Drosophila melanogaster: one gene and its partners. The protein of the gene in region 3 purifies or fractionates together with the protein of the main gene of each other region. This does not show direct contact. Each region holds a gene or a part of one and is shown on either strand. Other genes may lie near its edges.

What was found. The genes of interacting proteins can lie anywhere in the genome.
Region 1: the proteins of Coprox (region 3) and Prx4 purify together in Drosophila melanogaster (affinity purification with mass spectrometry, with the first as the bait; one large-scale study listed by BioGRID). This does not show direct contact.
Region 2: the proteins of Coprox (region 3) and mtDNA-helicase purify together in Drosophila melanogaster (affinity purification with mass spectrometry, with the first as the bait; one large-scale study listed by BioGRID). This does not show direct contact.

What each region holds. Positions count from the first base shown.
Region 1 is NT_037436.4:3,040,479-3,044,674, reverse strand, and holds Prx4 (peroxiredoxin 4), read right to left. Parts: upstream 2,317-4,196; 5' UTR 2,225-2,316; intron 2,126-2,224; exon of another isoform or gene 1,903-2,125; intron 1,631-1,902; 5' UTR 1,624-1,630; coding exon 1,470-1,623; intron 1,404-1,469; coding exon 1,286-1,403; intron 1,235-1,285; coding exon 829-1,234; intron 771-828; coding exon 720-770; 3' UTR 501-719; downstream 1-500.
Region 2 is NT_033779.5:9,890,755-9,895,126, forward strand, and holds mtDNA-helicase (mitochondrial DNA helicase), read right to left. Parts: upstream 2,693-4,372; 5' UTR 2,666-2,692; coding exon 2,374-2,665; intron 2,316-2,373; coding exon 1,878-2,315; intron 1,709-1,877; coding exon 597-1,708; 3' UTR 509-596; downstream 1-508. Other genes in the region: CG4537 (uncharacterized protein), read left to right, coding at 156-319, 379-508.
Region 3 is NT_033779.5:6,962,392-6,966,387, reverse strand, and holds Coprox (coproporphyrinogen oxidase), read right to left. Parts: upstream 1,968-3,996; 5' UTR 1,870-1,967; coding exon 697-1,869; 3' UTR 501-696; downstream 1-500. Other genes in the region: sip2 (septin interacting protein 2), read left to right, coding at 2,571-2,644, 2,834-3,996. UniProt on the Drosophila melanogaster protein: Involved in the heme biosynthesis. Catalyzes the aerobic oxidative decarboxylation of propionate groups of rings A and B of coproporphyrinogen-III to yield the vinyl groups in protoporphyrinogen-IX.

The sequences.
Region 1 (4,196 bases), on a different chromosome or scaffold from region 3:
CCGCAGCAAAGGAATCTCCCGCACAACTTGGATCTGAACCGCAGTTGCACCTTCGTTATTTTATGAACCTCGGTTTTGGCATTTAAAGCTCACCACAATGAAGCACTTACTGACAAACGCACAAAACGGAAAACAGAAAGCAGACTACACACGAAGAATCCGACGAGAACGAGTGCCTTATGACGTCCTAGTTATTGTCGTCGCCCCCGTCCCGTTTCCCCAGATTTATATACCTCGACAGACCTAGCTTTGTTGTACGCATAGGTCGGAGCACAGGATAACTTAATTGCAACCATGGCGTACCTAACTAATTTACTATTACCTTTTACCTACTACATATTACATATTACATATATTTTTGTATGAAACTAATTGCAATCGAATTGTTACCCATTAGAGTGGCCTAGTGAGCCAGCTTTCAAGGCATTTTGAGATCGAAAACATCTCCTCCTTTTTGGTACCGCTCCTGTGGCGCCGCGCAATTTTCATCACCTTCACATGTACTTCATGAATTTATTTATATCTCAGTTATGCTGTAAAATAAACAAACTATGTTTTGTACAAAGCAAATGCGAAATATTCACAATCGGTGGCATTGCGGATTTGGATTTTCTGTACAGAGGACTCTAGCGATTGTTCGTTTGCATCGTGATTCAGTCGTGAACATTAGGAATGTAACTGGGCTAGGCTACTAAGGTAATGTGCATCTCTATCTGTCCCTAGTTGTTCTTGGCAAAGTACTTCGTCTTCTCCTCAGGATTGGGAACGATCTGTAAAGGTAATGGTATCAAAAAGAATTTACCTAAGGCAATGCTTCAAAAAACCTACCGTATCGGCACCTGGCCGCCAACCTGCTGGGCAAACCTCTCCATGGGTGTCCGTATACTGGAAGGCCTGAACCAGACGAATAGTCTCGTCCACAGAGCGTCCCACGGGCAAATCATTCATGGTGATCTGTCGCAGCACTCCGGTCTGATCGATAATGAAGAGACCGCGCAGCGCATGACCGCTGGACTCCAAGTAGACTCCGTAGTCCTTGCTGATCTTATGCGTTAGATCGGAGAGCAGTGGGATCTTCACGTCGCCCAGGCCGCCCTCCTTGCGCGGCGTGTTTATCCAGGCCAAGTGGGTGAAGTGCGAGTCCACGCTGACGCCAATCACCTCGGTCTTGATCTTCTTGAACTCGGCGATGCGGTCGGAGAAGGCAATGATCTCCGTTGGGCATACAAAGGTGCTAAAATGGCAATGAGAAATGCGATCATACTAAATGTAAATGTAAACTTACAAGTCCAGTGGGTAGAAGAGTAGCACCACATATTTCCCTAGATACTGGGACAATGATAGCTTCACAATCTCCTTATTAACCACGGCGGTGCCCTCGAACTGCGGAGCTGGCTTGGAAACTGGGGAAATAAGGGTAGCAGCAACTTAATAGTGATCCCTGGTTTTTTGCATCCAATGGAACTCACTGACTGCCTTGGTGTACTGCAGCTGATGGTCGCCCTTCGGCTGGTCGGGATAAACGGAGCCGCCGGCGAAGGAATAGCACGATTCATTATCTTCCGGCTTGGCAGCTCCAACGAGTGCCGCGGACAGCAGTAGGACAGATAAGTACTTGGACATGATTGGGCTGAAACGAGATCCACGTACGTATATGGCTATTGGATTCGGTTTATACGCTATTTATTACACGCGGCCTTTACAATTATTGCCGCTCTTTATATTTATAATAAATCTGTGTACAGTGGTCGCCCAACTATCTTTAATTTTGTAAATTATGTAAAGATATATAATTTTGAATGTTAATTAGGAACAAAACTAAACTTCAAAGAAAAGATACTCCTTCTATGTACTAAATCCTTGTTCCGTCCGTGTCAGCCAGTCTCTACTGTACGCACATACCCAAAATTCGAACACGCCCACAACTTGTAGCCACGCAGTCAAAAAAGTAACTATTTCAACGGGCAGAACTTCAATTGATTTTGGTGGAACGCGCTTATTGTTGCTGCGCTTCCGAAAAGATAAGCTTATCAATTTCATTCACTTCACTGCTATTATAATTTATAGTTGTCAGCGTGTAACCGATTTAAACAAATATAGTTTACAAAACTACTAAAATTCCAATGCCAATGCGATTGCCTAGCTCCGATTTGAATATTTATTTTTAGTTGCAGGGTAGTTAACTTGCTTGCATTAAGCAACAATGCAAACGCACAGCTGTTACCTTTTAAGCGCTATAATTAACTCTTTTTGTTTTAATAACAAATTGTTCTGCCGGCATTGGTGTGACCGTAATACGCAAAAATACCATACTGTCGTTCCGACACCAATGCATAGTTCAGCATTGCCAACATAAATTTCATTATGAAATATTTGAATTTTCATTTCATATTAACGCGTAACTGCAATTTTGAAAGAATATTATTTTAGAAAAAATATCTGTGCTGCATTGGCGAATCAAAAGCGATGTATGGCCATGCTATGATCTATCCAATTTTTTTTAAGTAAAAAACACTTTCTCAGTTAACTTTTACTTACGCTATAAACTTTATTAAAATATATACAGTTTGTCAAGAAACTGTTTACACACTGTGAAATAAGTTGAATTTTTGACTTTAAAGCTAAAAATAAAGGGTTTTTTGCTTAATTAAACGCAATTTTTTTATAAAATATAATTAAACAATATTTATTTTACTTATAAATCAAAAAACAAATTAAAAATATTAAATATACAAGAAAATAAACAACAAATTCCAAGTTTACACACTTTTGAGACTGTCAAGAAACTCTTTACACATTTTGTTTTCCTACTTTGTTTTGTTCTTTTTCTTAGAACGAACTCGATTTTTCCGTTATTTTTGGCTTTGCATTGCTTTTTACAACGCTTCTATTGAAATTTTGTTGACTTTGCTTGTGAAATTTTGCTGATCAAACGTGCTTAAAGCGAATTATTAAATTTAATAAAATGCCTGGAAAGAGATTAACTTTTGAAGTTACCCAATTAATAAACTATAACCACCAGTTGGGAAAATCTTTTCCAGAATTAGTATAAATGTTTCCTGTATCCCGTAAGACCGTCTACAATGTTTTAAAAGGCTCGGAAAAAGAGGGCAGGCTTGAACCTAAGAGCGGTGGTGGGCGGAAAATTAAAATTAAAAAGCGTGTAGACCGCTTTATTATGCGAATAGTGATTGCGAACCCCCGAATCTCGGTCAGATCACTTGCTCTGGATATCAGGCAAGAATGCCACCTAACTGTGTCACACGAAACTGTGCGCCAAGTCATCCTACGCCATAGGTACTCTTCAAGATTTGCAAGGAAAAACCCTTTGCTATCAGATGCCAATATGGAAAAGCGTCATTAATTCGCTGTGAGCATGATGGATCATGCGGAAGAGTACTGGGATGACGTCATATTTTGTGACGAAACAAAAATGATGCTCTTTTATAACGACGGGCCAAGCAGAGTATGGCGCAAACCGTTGAGTGCGCTAGAAAAACAAAATATCATTCCAACGATAAAATTTGGAAAAATGTCACTGATGGTTTGGGGCTGTATCACCAGCCGTGGAGTGGGAAAACTAGCCTTAATTGAGAGCACAATAACTGCCGTGCAATATCTAGAAATGTTAAAAAACAAATTTGAAGGCCAGTGCAGAAAAATTCGGTCTAGTTAGCAACAACAAGCCAAATCTTAAGTTTTACCAGGACATGATCAGAAACATAAAGAGTGCAATGTACGCACCTGGCGCCTTAATAACTGTGGTAAAGTGATCGATACGCCCCCTCAGAGTCCTGATCTGAACCCCATTGAAAATTTGTGGACCTACTTAAAGAAGAAGGTGGCAAAAAGGGACCTAAAACACAACAACAGCTTATGACTGTAATAGTCGAAGAGTGTGAAAAGATCCCGTTTGAATATGACCTGCAAAAACTTGTCCAATCCATGAAAAAAAGGCTTCAACTTGTAGCTAAAGCCAATGGGGAACATACTACATACCAAAACTTTTAAAATTTTAATAAAATAATTAAAAAATTTAGGATTAAACTTCGATTTAGTGTTTTGTGTAAAGAGTTTCTTGACAGTCTCAAAAGTGTGTAAACTTGGAATTTGTTGTTTATTTTCTTGTATATTTAATATTTTTAATTTGTTTTTTGATTTATAAGTAAAATAAATATTGTTTAATTATATTTTAT
Region 2 (4,372 bases), 2.9 Mb from region 3:
ATTTGCAATTGAGATGGTCGATAACAACCTTCGATAGACACTTAGTTGGGAAATATGCGGTCAATCGGTAGCAAACAATCGATATTAATATCAATGGAATGGTCACTCTGTTTTTGCAAAACGTAAATAAAAAACAAATTGAATTGATAACAAAAATGGTTTGCGAGAAGTGCGAGGCCAAGCTCTCCAAAGTTTCAGCGCCCAATCCCTGGCGAACGAGCACAGCTCCTGCGGGAGGACGTAAAATCAACGAGAACAAGGCTTTATCCTCGGCCCGCGAGCGATACAATCCCATAGGGACTGCTTTACCACCTTGCCGGTAGGGAAATCTCCTCAAGAATTCATCTGCATATCTTAATCTGATTTTTAATTATCCAGAATCTGCCGACAGAAAGTGCACCAGATGGGTTCGCACTATTGCCAGGCGTGCGCCTACAAAAAGGCCATATGCGCCATGTGCGGCAAGAAGATCATGAACACCAAGAACTACAAGCAGAGCTCAACGTGATGCAGTTTATCAAAGGATGCACTTAAGACTAAACTAACCATAGACAACAGAATAATTATAACCTATAGTACAACAAATGCCTTACTAATCAGTTCTCGGATGGCGTCTTTTCCCGTTTTCGCTTGGCATTTTGGATCTGGGTTGAGTAGCTCAAGCCGTCTTTGTCGAATTCCAGTGGCATGATGCCCAGGTCGCCGGAATAACGATTCTTGGCAATTTGGAGATACTTCTTGCCCCGCACAGAAGTCAGCCTCTTGTCTTGAATGATCAACACGTTGTCCGCTTCTTGGGTGGCCTTTGCTGTGCCGAAAACCGAGCTGGTGGTCAGCTCGTCCTCCTGCCGCTCCTTGCGCGGATGCATTACGAGTGTCACGTGTACATTGTGCTTGGTGGCAAAGGAGCGAAAGGCAGCTATAATAGAGTCCTGTTCAAAGAACTTGTCGCCTCGAAATGTGGACACGCCCATCATAAATTGCAGATTGTCAATGATCACGTGCATCACATCGTGCACATACGACGCATGCTCGATGGCTTCCAGAACCGGCTTAAGGGGCTGCTGTCCGTGGAAGGTCATAAAGTATAGCGGCAAACGCTCAAACTCCGCTGCCCAGTGGTTAAACTCATGCAACCGGTCGTCCAACGGGTAGCCCACATACTGGCGAAGCAAGGTGGCCGCCAGCCGGGTGTTTCGGATCTCAAAAGAGCCCCACAGCGTGTTTACGCCCTGCATGGCCAGATCCAGAGAGTACTCGCTCATAAAGGTTGTCTTTCCACTACCCGTGGGTCCTGTGAGGATTGTCAACTCTCCCCTCCGATGGCCTTTGAGCAGCTTATTCAGTACTGGAAAGCGCTTCCACTTTACTCCATTGACTTTCTCGATGTTTTGCAACTCGCTGAGAATGTCATTTCGCATTGCTCCGAATGTTGTGATGGCCTTGTGCTGCACCGGTGTCGCTTTGGCCAGGATGTGGCGCAGATTGAGTCGTCGGCGCAGAGCCAAATGTGGCGCAGGTTCCGTCTCAGTAGGTCGGATTAACAGGCATCGCCTTTCGTCCAACTTTAACGCAAAAGCTCTAGCTGCATCCCAGCTGTGACTGGCATCGTAGTGCAACCAAAAGATGAGCTCTTTGAAGCGTTCCAAGGCGGGCAGACACTCTTGTGGTAGAGTCTTCAGTTCGTAGGGCAGGCATACAACGCAATCTAGGAGACAATTTAATTTTTAAATTAAATTATATCTTAAATGTGTACTAGCTGAGCCAAACTGGTTTCCAAATTATTTTTAATTGATATCTTAAATATATCACCCTAGGATTTCTTCACTATTCTGCAACCAATGAAAAATATTCCTAAAAGCTATGTTTTCACTTACGCGTTTCAATGTTCTGTGTGGCAAGGACAATAAAGTCAATTAGATTGCTGACTAGAACCGCTTTGGTTTTGTTCATCGCACCGTGAATCAGCAGCCCGGAGCTGGAGCTGCTCTGGAAGATCTCCTCCCGTCGATCGCCCAGATATAACACCTTTTCGCCAACCTCCACTTGCGCGGCATTGCGTAACTTAAAGTGGAGCAGCTGTTGCTGCGGCTCCCACTGTGCTCCTATGGCATTTAGTTGGTCCTCCTTCAAGCCCTTGATTCCCAAAGCTGCACAGGCCTCGGGAGTAACCACGGCCAGGTGGGGAAATCGGGATTCATAGACCGGCTGCCTCTGCAGCGGTTGCTTATAGCCAACCGGCTTGGGCAACTGATAGGATAATAAAGCGCTGGTCAGTGAGGTTTTTACGTCGCAATTGGGGCAGATAAAGGCTCCTAAAGGAAAATTGAATATACTACGGTTTTTTTTGCGAAATGTAATTGGTGCTCTCACCCGTCCGCTTGTTTACGTAAGCCAGCAGCCCATGATCGGTGCCCTTTTGGGCGTTTGTCACCGGCTGCCTATTGCGATCGCAGAGGCGACACTCCAGCTGCAAGCACGTGTGTCCGTCTTTGTGGGGCAAGTTGAGCTGCCGCAGCTGCCGCTTGAAGTCCACATACTCCTTGGGGTCTAGTGAGCACTCCTCCAAGCCGGAAACCACTTGGGTAGCGTAGTTTTTTCTCCAAACACGTTGTTTTTCGTTATTTATACGCAACAGCGGTTTGATTAAACCGGCGCGTCTCATTTTCCATGTTATCGATATCGAAAGTGAGGGGTGGAAAATAGGGATGACAATTGGGCGCGCAATTTTGAAGATTTGTTTACCTACTATTAATCATTCAAATATCTTTGTACTCTCTCAGTGCTCTGGGAAGCGCTCTATTTAATACTAGGAAATCTCATTAAATTACTTTCGTAAAGTGCGCTTACAATTGTGCTAAATTGTTCGATAAATACCAGTTTAGTTAAGCACGGTAAATTCAAATTATAAAGCATTATCTATCTATAACTTTGTTCTAAGGTCAATACTTTATTTGTACAACTGATTAAACAAATTGCGGCTCTTTTCCACCATCCCAATAACAATAAAAAATATATACAATTCGTGATTATTTGATTTTATTAGTTTATTTATTTTAGTATTTGAAGATGTCCAATTCTTTTTATATCAAGATCTTTTACACAAGGCAACGTCACTCTGCAATTAAAGTAAAATATAAAATATATTAAATACATCATCTCAAGACAGCCGAAATATATATATTTGTATTAGTCAGACGCCTTAGACCATCCTTAAGCCGAAGCTTTCTGGTGGAAACCGCAAAAGGTGTTTAAGGTAATCATCAGTTTATTTATTAATTTAAAAAAAAAAATTCTCGAAAATATTACCTTATACAGTCGAATAAACGAGCTCATTTAGTTATATTTGCCTGCGATAAACCACATTTCTGAGTTGATCTGGAAACAAGAGATAAAATAGGTAAGTAAAATGCTAGTTTAAGTATAATAAAGTTTTTATTGAAACTTTTTAGTCAGACGCCTTAGACCATCATTAAGCCGAAGCTTTCTGGTGGAAACCGCAAAAGGTGTTGAAGTTAATCATCAGTAAAACGTATATTGCATTCAAACATAAAAATGTTAGTGTAAATAAATTACCTTTATCGGTAAATCCATGTGCTCGCTGCTGCAGCTGGACCCATACATAACCTCAAACCAGAATGTAAATTCTGGAAATAAAAGAAAATGGCATCAATACAGTGTGTACAAGGAGTACTTCCAAATATTTTATATATTTGATTAGGTTTCAGTTTACAATTTTCTGCACGGTTATGAGCTCAGTACAGGTCTGTGTAAAAGATCATCAGAGAAGCATAGACCAACCAAAAGTATTAATATCTTACCTCCAATGTGACAATGGCGTCTCCAGTGGGCTCAGTGCCCAAGGTGTCTCAACGGGCTCACATGTTGTCCCGAGGTGTCTCACATGCACCATGCACGTGGAGTGCCCGGATTTCGATTTATCCAAATGCTTAGGGTTTCAATATTGTTCACTGCAAGAAATACAGAACTTTTAGAACATATTCTTGCCAAACCCAAAGAAAGTTCTTGAAGTTATATGCCATCAGATCGCCGAATCATCTTAAATGAACAAATATATAACGAGGCACTGAAAAATACAGCGCCAAGTCGAGAATTTGTTCCTTCAGTCTCGTCATCTGTTTCATCATTTGAGGCATAACACTCTTCCATTTAAGCACTTTAATTCACTTGATATAAAACTATTTACGAAGAGCACACAACTTACCATTTCGAGTCTTGAAATAAAATGAACGAGTTTCGTCATCGCACGTGGAAGGAAAAATTCTGTGAAAAGATGGCGGCCAACTATCGATGTCTCTGAATGCAACCATGGTAGTATCGTATCGGAAAAATTGTTTGGTTTTTGCCTGAT
Region 3 (3,996 bases):
TGTTTGTGAAAGCCAAGCCATACATGATGATTGTGTATGTATACCATGTATACATACATACCATTCATGATGTATGTGCGTATGTGCTTAAATTTTCAAAGGTACAGTTGTGTAAAAAAAAACTATGATGAAAAATTAAAAAGTAGATATGTACGTATGCATACATGAAGTCATGTCGACAGGTCCTGTTATATTAGACCGGCTGTATATGTATATGTATATGTGTTCATTTTTAATATTGGTATTGGGTAAAAATTTCCGAAATTTTTCTTATAGATTTTTTGCTGTCTCACCATGACTCAGCACCATACATATATACTTTATATTGTAAAACATTTATTTTCCAGGCCCTTTAATTATGTATTGAGAAGCAAAGTAATGAGTCAAAGTCGAAGTCTATTGAGTTTGTTCATACTTTGTTGCATTTCATAGATGAATTTCATAACTCGTAATAAAATTAAAATTCATTAACATTATGTATTTAATTTTACTTGTTGAGTCCAATTTATAGTATTATTTGCCAATGTATACTGTATGTTGAATGGAATAAACTAGTTTTTCAAATATGGATAAATAGTTAGGAAACAATAACATTTTGTCATGTTTATTTGCAACAACAATTACAATATGTACACATTAAGTTTTAAATATAATGCAAAAGGCACCGGTTCCCTCTTAAGAACAATTAAAAATAGCTTAGACCCAATCCTTGGGGTTCTTCAGGACCTTCATCAGTTTGCCCTCCTCGGACTGGGACTTGGGCTCGTGCATGTACTCCCAGCGGGCGTGCAGGGGCAGGGACATCAGGATGCTCTCGTACCGGGCTCCAGGCGTGTATAGACCGAACTTGGTGCCACGATCGTAGATCAAATTGAACTCCACGTAGCGCCCGCGGCGCAGCAATTGCCACTGTCGTTCGTTGTTGCCATACTCCCGATTTTTGTGCTTTCGTACCAGCGGCACGTAGGAGGGAATCACGGCCCTGGCGCAGCTTGACACAAAGTTGAAGGCCGCCTCCTGGTTGGGCGAATCGATGTCGTCGAAAAAGATTCCGCCAATGCCGCGGCTCTCGTTGCGATGCTTGATGCGGAAGTAGTCGTCGCACCACTTCTTAAAGCGCGGGTAGTAGGTGGGATCGTGCTCATCGCAGGCGGACTTCAGCGTCTGGTGGAAGTGGGAGGCGTCCTTCTCGCAGAGGTAATAGGGCGTCAGATCCGTGCCGCCACCAAACCACCACTGCTTCTCCCCCTTGGCAGTTTCCACTTCAAAATAACGATAGTTGAAGTGAATGGTGGGGACATGGGGATTCCTCGGATGGATCACGGCACTCACACCGCTGGCAAAGAACGGCAACGAGGCGCCCTCCTTCAGATTCTTGCCGCGAGCCCGCATCTGTTGTACTGCAGCCGGGGGCAACGAACCGGTGACCACGGATATATTGACGCCTGCCTTCTCGAACACATCGCCATCCTGCAGGACGCAAGTGATGCCGCCTCCGCCCTCAGGCCGCTCCCACCGGTCCACCTTGAACTTCTGGCCACAGTTCTCCTCCGCCTCCAGGGCGCGGCAAAACTCCGCCTGGATCTCCATGATCAGGATCTCCATGCGATGACGCATGTTCTCCTTGTCCCCCAGCAGTGCCTTGGAGTCGGTGATGGGCTCGGCCATGAACCGCGAGGTGTTCATCTGCACCCCGTTGACCTTTGGGTCGACAGCCTCCGCGGAATGTGCGTACGTGACCGCCGAAAAGCTGGCCAGGCCCAATCCCGTGCCGAGGAGAAAGCCTCTGGCGTGCGGCCCCCTGGTCCGGCGCACCAGTTGAAAGGTGCCCAGCGATACCAGGGATATCGTGTGACGGAGTGCGTTCATTATGTGCTCTCGCCTACTTCAAATTTTTAACTTAACTTAAGTACTTTCGCCGAACGCAGTTTGTTTGTTATCTTTCACTGACCCGGCATTTCTAGTTGCATAGTCGCCGGTGTGACCGTGATATCACCAAAATATACCGAAAATAGGGGGCTCGCGATTTTGTTCTATTTACAGAGATACAAGAAGTTGTAACGTTCTTATAAAAATATTATATATTGTTAAGAACACTAGCTAGCTCAATATGTCTGTATATATACACAAAATAATAATAATAAATAATATATGTTAAAAGTTACGGAGCAGTACAATTGCTTTTAATGGTAGACATATTTGTCTTAATTTTATATTATTATTTGTTATAAGTGATATAACTCCGATGATGTATATGTGTAGTGTCCATTGGAATACCCCATTCAAAAATATAAGCGCAATACGGGCACTCTGTCGTGGCATTTGAAATAAACGACTGCAAAGGCGCGTCGATCGTTGGCAAATGAGCGTGCTGTGAAGAAATCCATGAAATATTTGCGTGTGCGCCTTGAAGATTAAGGAAGATCTGCGTGAATACTATTGCCAGAAGGTAGGTGATCGACTGGAGCGAACTCTAAATCCTCTGAACTATAGTCAACGCGCAATTATACGTGTTTATCCCGTCGACTGGAGTTTTGCACCCAGGACACACGCACACTCGCACACTCACGATGTCTGGCCTCAAGAAATTCCAAAACACTGAGGAATGGCGTCAGAAACTCCGTCAGTTTCTAATGACCGAGCGGTAAATACACATTGAAACCCATCCTTGGATAGTGTTGCACTAGTGTTCGATGAATTTGTAGTCATTTACTTTCAAACAAGCCACCTGCATGTCAAAATTGTTAGAGAAACAGTACGCATAAATAGTTTGGACAGTTTAGACACACATACAATTTAGTTGAGAAAACTAATAACAGTTTTCCTTTTTCAGCTTGCCGAAAAAGCCCGTGAAAATGGACGAAACGAAGGATATGCGCTATAGTTTGGAGATCGACGAGGATTTGAGGAGACCCTTGGAGGCGCGGGCCAAGAAAGTTCTGGCCGTTAATTCTGCCAGTCAAAGGACTGTTAATCTCGGCGAGGATACTATGTACGAGGCAGGTGACTTGGAGCACTTGGACGATGGCGATGATAGCTTCAGTGCCTTTGAGCGCATGTGCGACAAAACCGGTTCCGATCCGGATAGCACTCTTTTCCAGTACCTGCACAGCGAGGACCGGAGTCAGGTGATGGCCAGGGCTAGGGATCATAGCACCGACGATCAGAAAGAGATCGATGCACTGCGTCGCATGCTAGAGGCAGTGGGTACAGAAGACGATCTATTGGAGAACGAAAGTCCCGTCAAGGGGGCGGAGTGCACTCACCTGGAGGACATTGAGGCGCCGTCGCGCTTTTGGGACAACACCCTGGCCGGAATGGACGAGACCTCATCCGACTCTGGGCTGACTCCTAAAGCATTGACCAAGGTTTCGCCTGTCAAAATGGTGGGGCTGCTTCGCCCCTCAACCATCATCGAAGACAGCGAACTGGAGTCGTCTGATGTGTCTTCACACACAAGCTTCCAAAGCGCTCGCACCCTAAAGACAAATGCATCTAGTTCTTACGAAACAGCCACGGATACTTCCCTCAGTGGAACGCTCCTAAACGTCGACGAATTGTTTTACGCCGCAATTGCCAAGGCCAAGCCACCAGGAATGTCCAAGGGAGAGGAGCTGGAGCTCTTAAGCGATCTTCATGGCAGTCTTAGAGAGCTGGCCTCACTTCCGAAGGATGAGGTCGAGGAGGAAGAGGACGATATAGAGGATACAATAATCGAGCTATCCTCTTCTGACGATGAAGAAGTGCAGCTAGTTCCAGAAGTAAAACAAGAAGACACGTCCCGTGTGTCCTCAGTCCACGGAAAAGATCACACTGAGCAGAAACCAGCGGAGAAGAGCGTTGAAAATAAGGAAAATTCGTTGCATTTCAATGATACCATGGAAGAAATGGAGTACATGATGCAAAAGGGTATGGAGTACATGGCAGGTGGGGCTCCTTCAGTCGCCGCAGTCAAGGCAGATTGCCCTGTGCTGCCCAAGACCAAACAAAGCACGT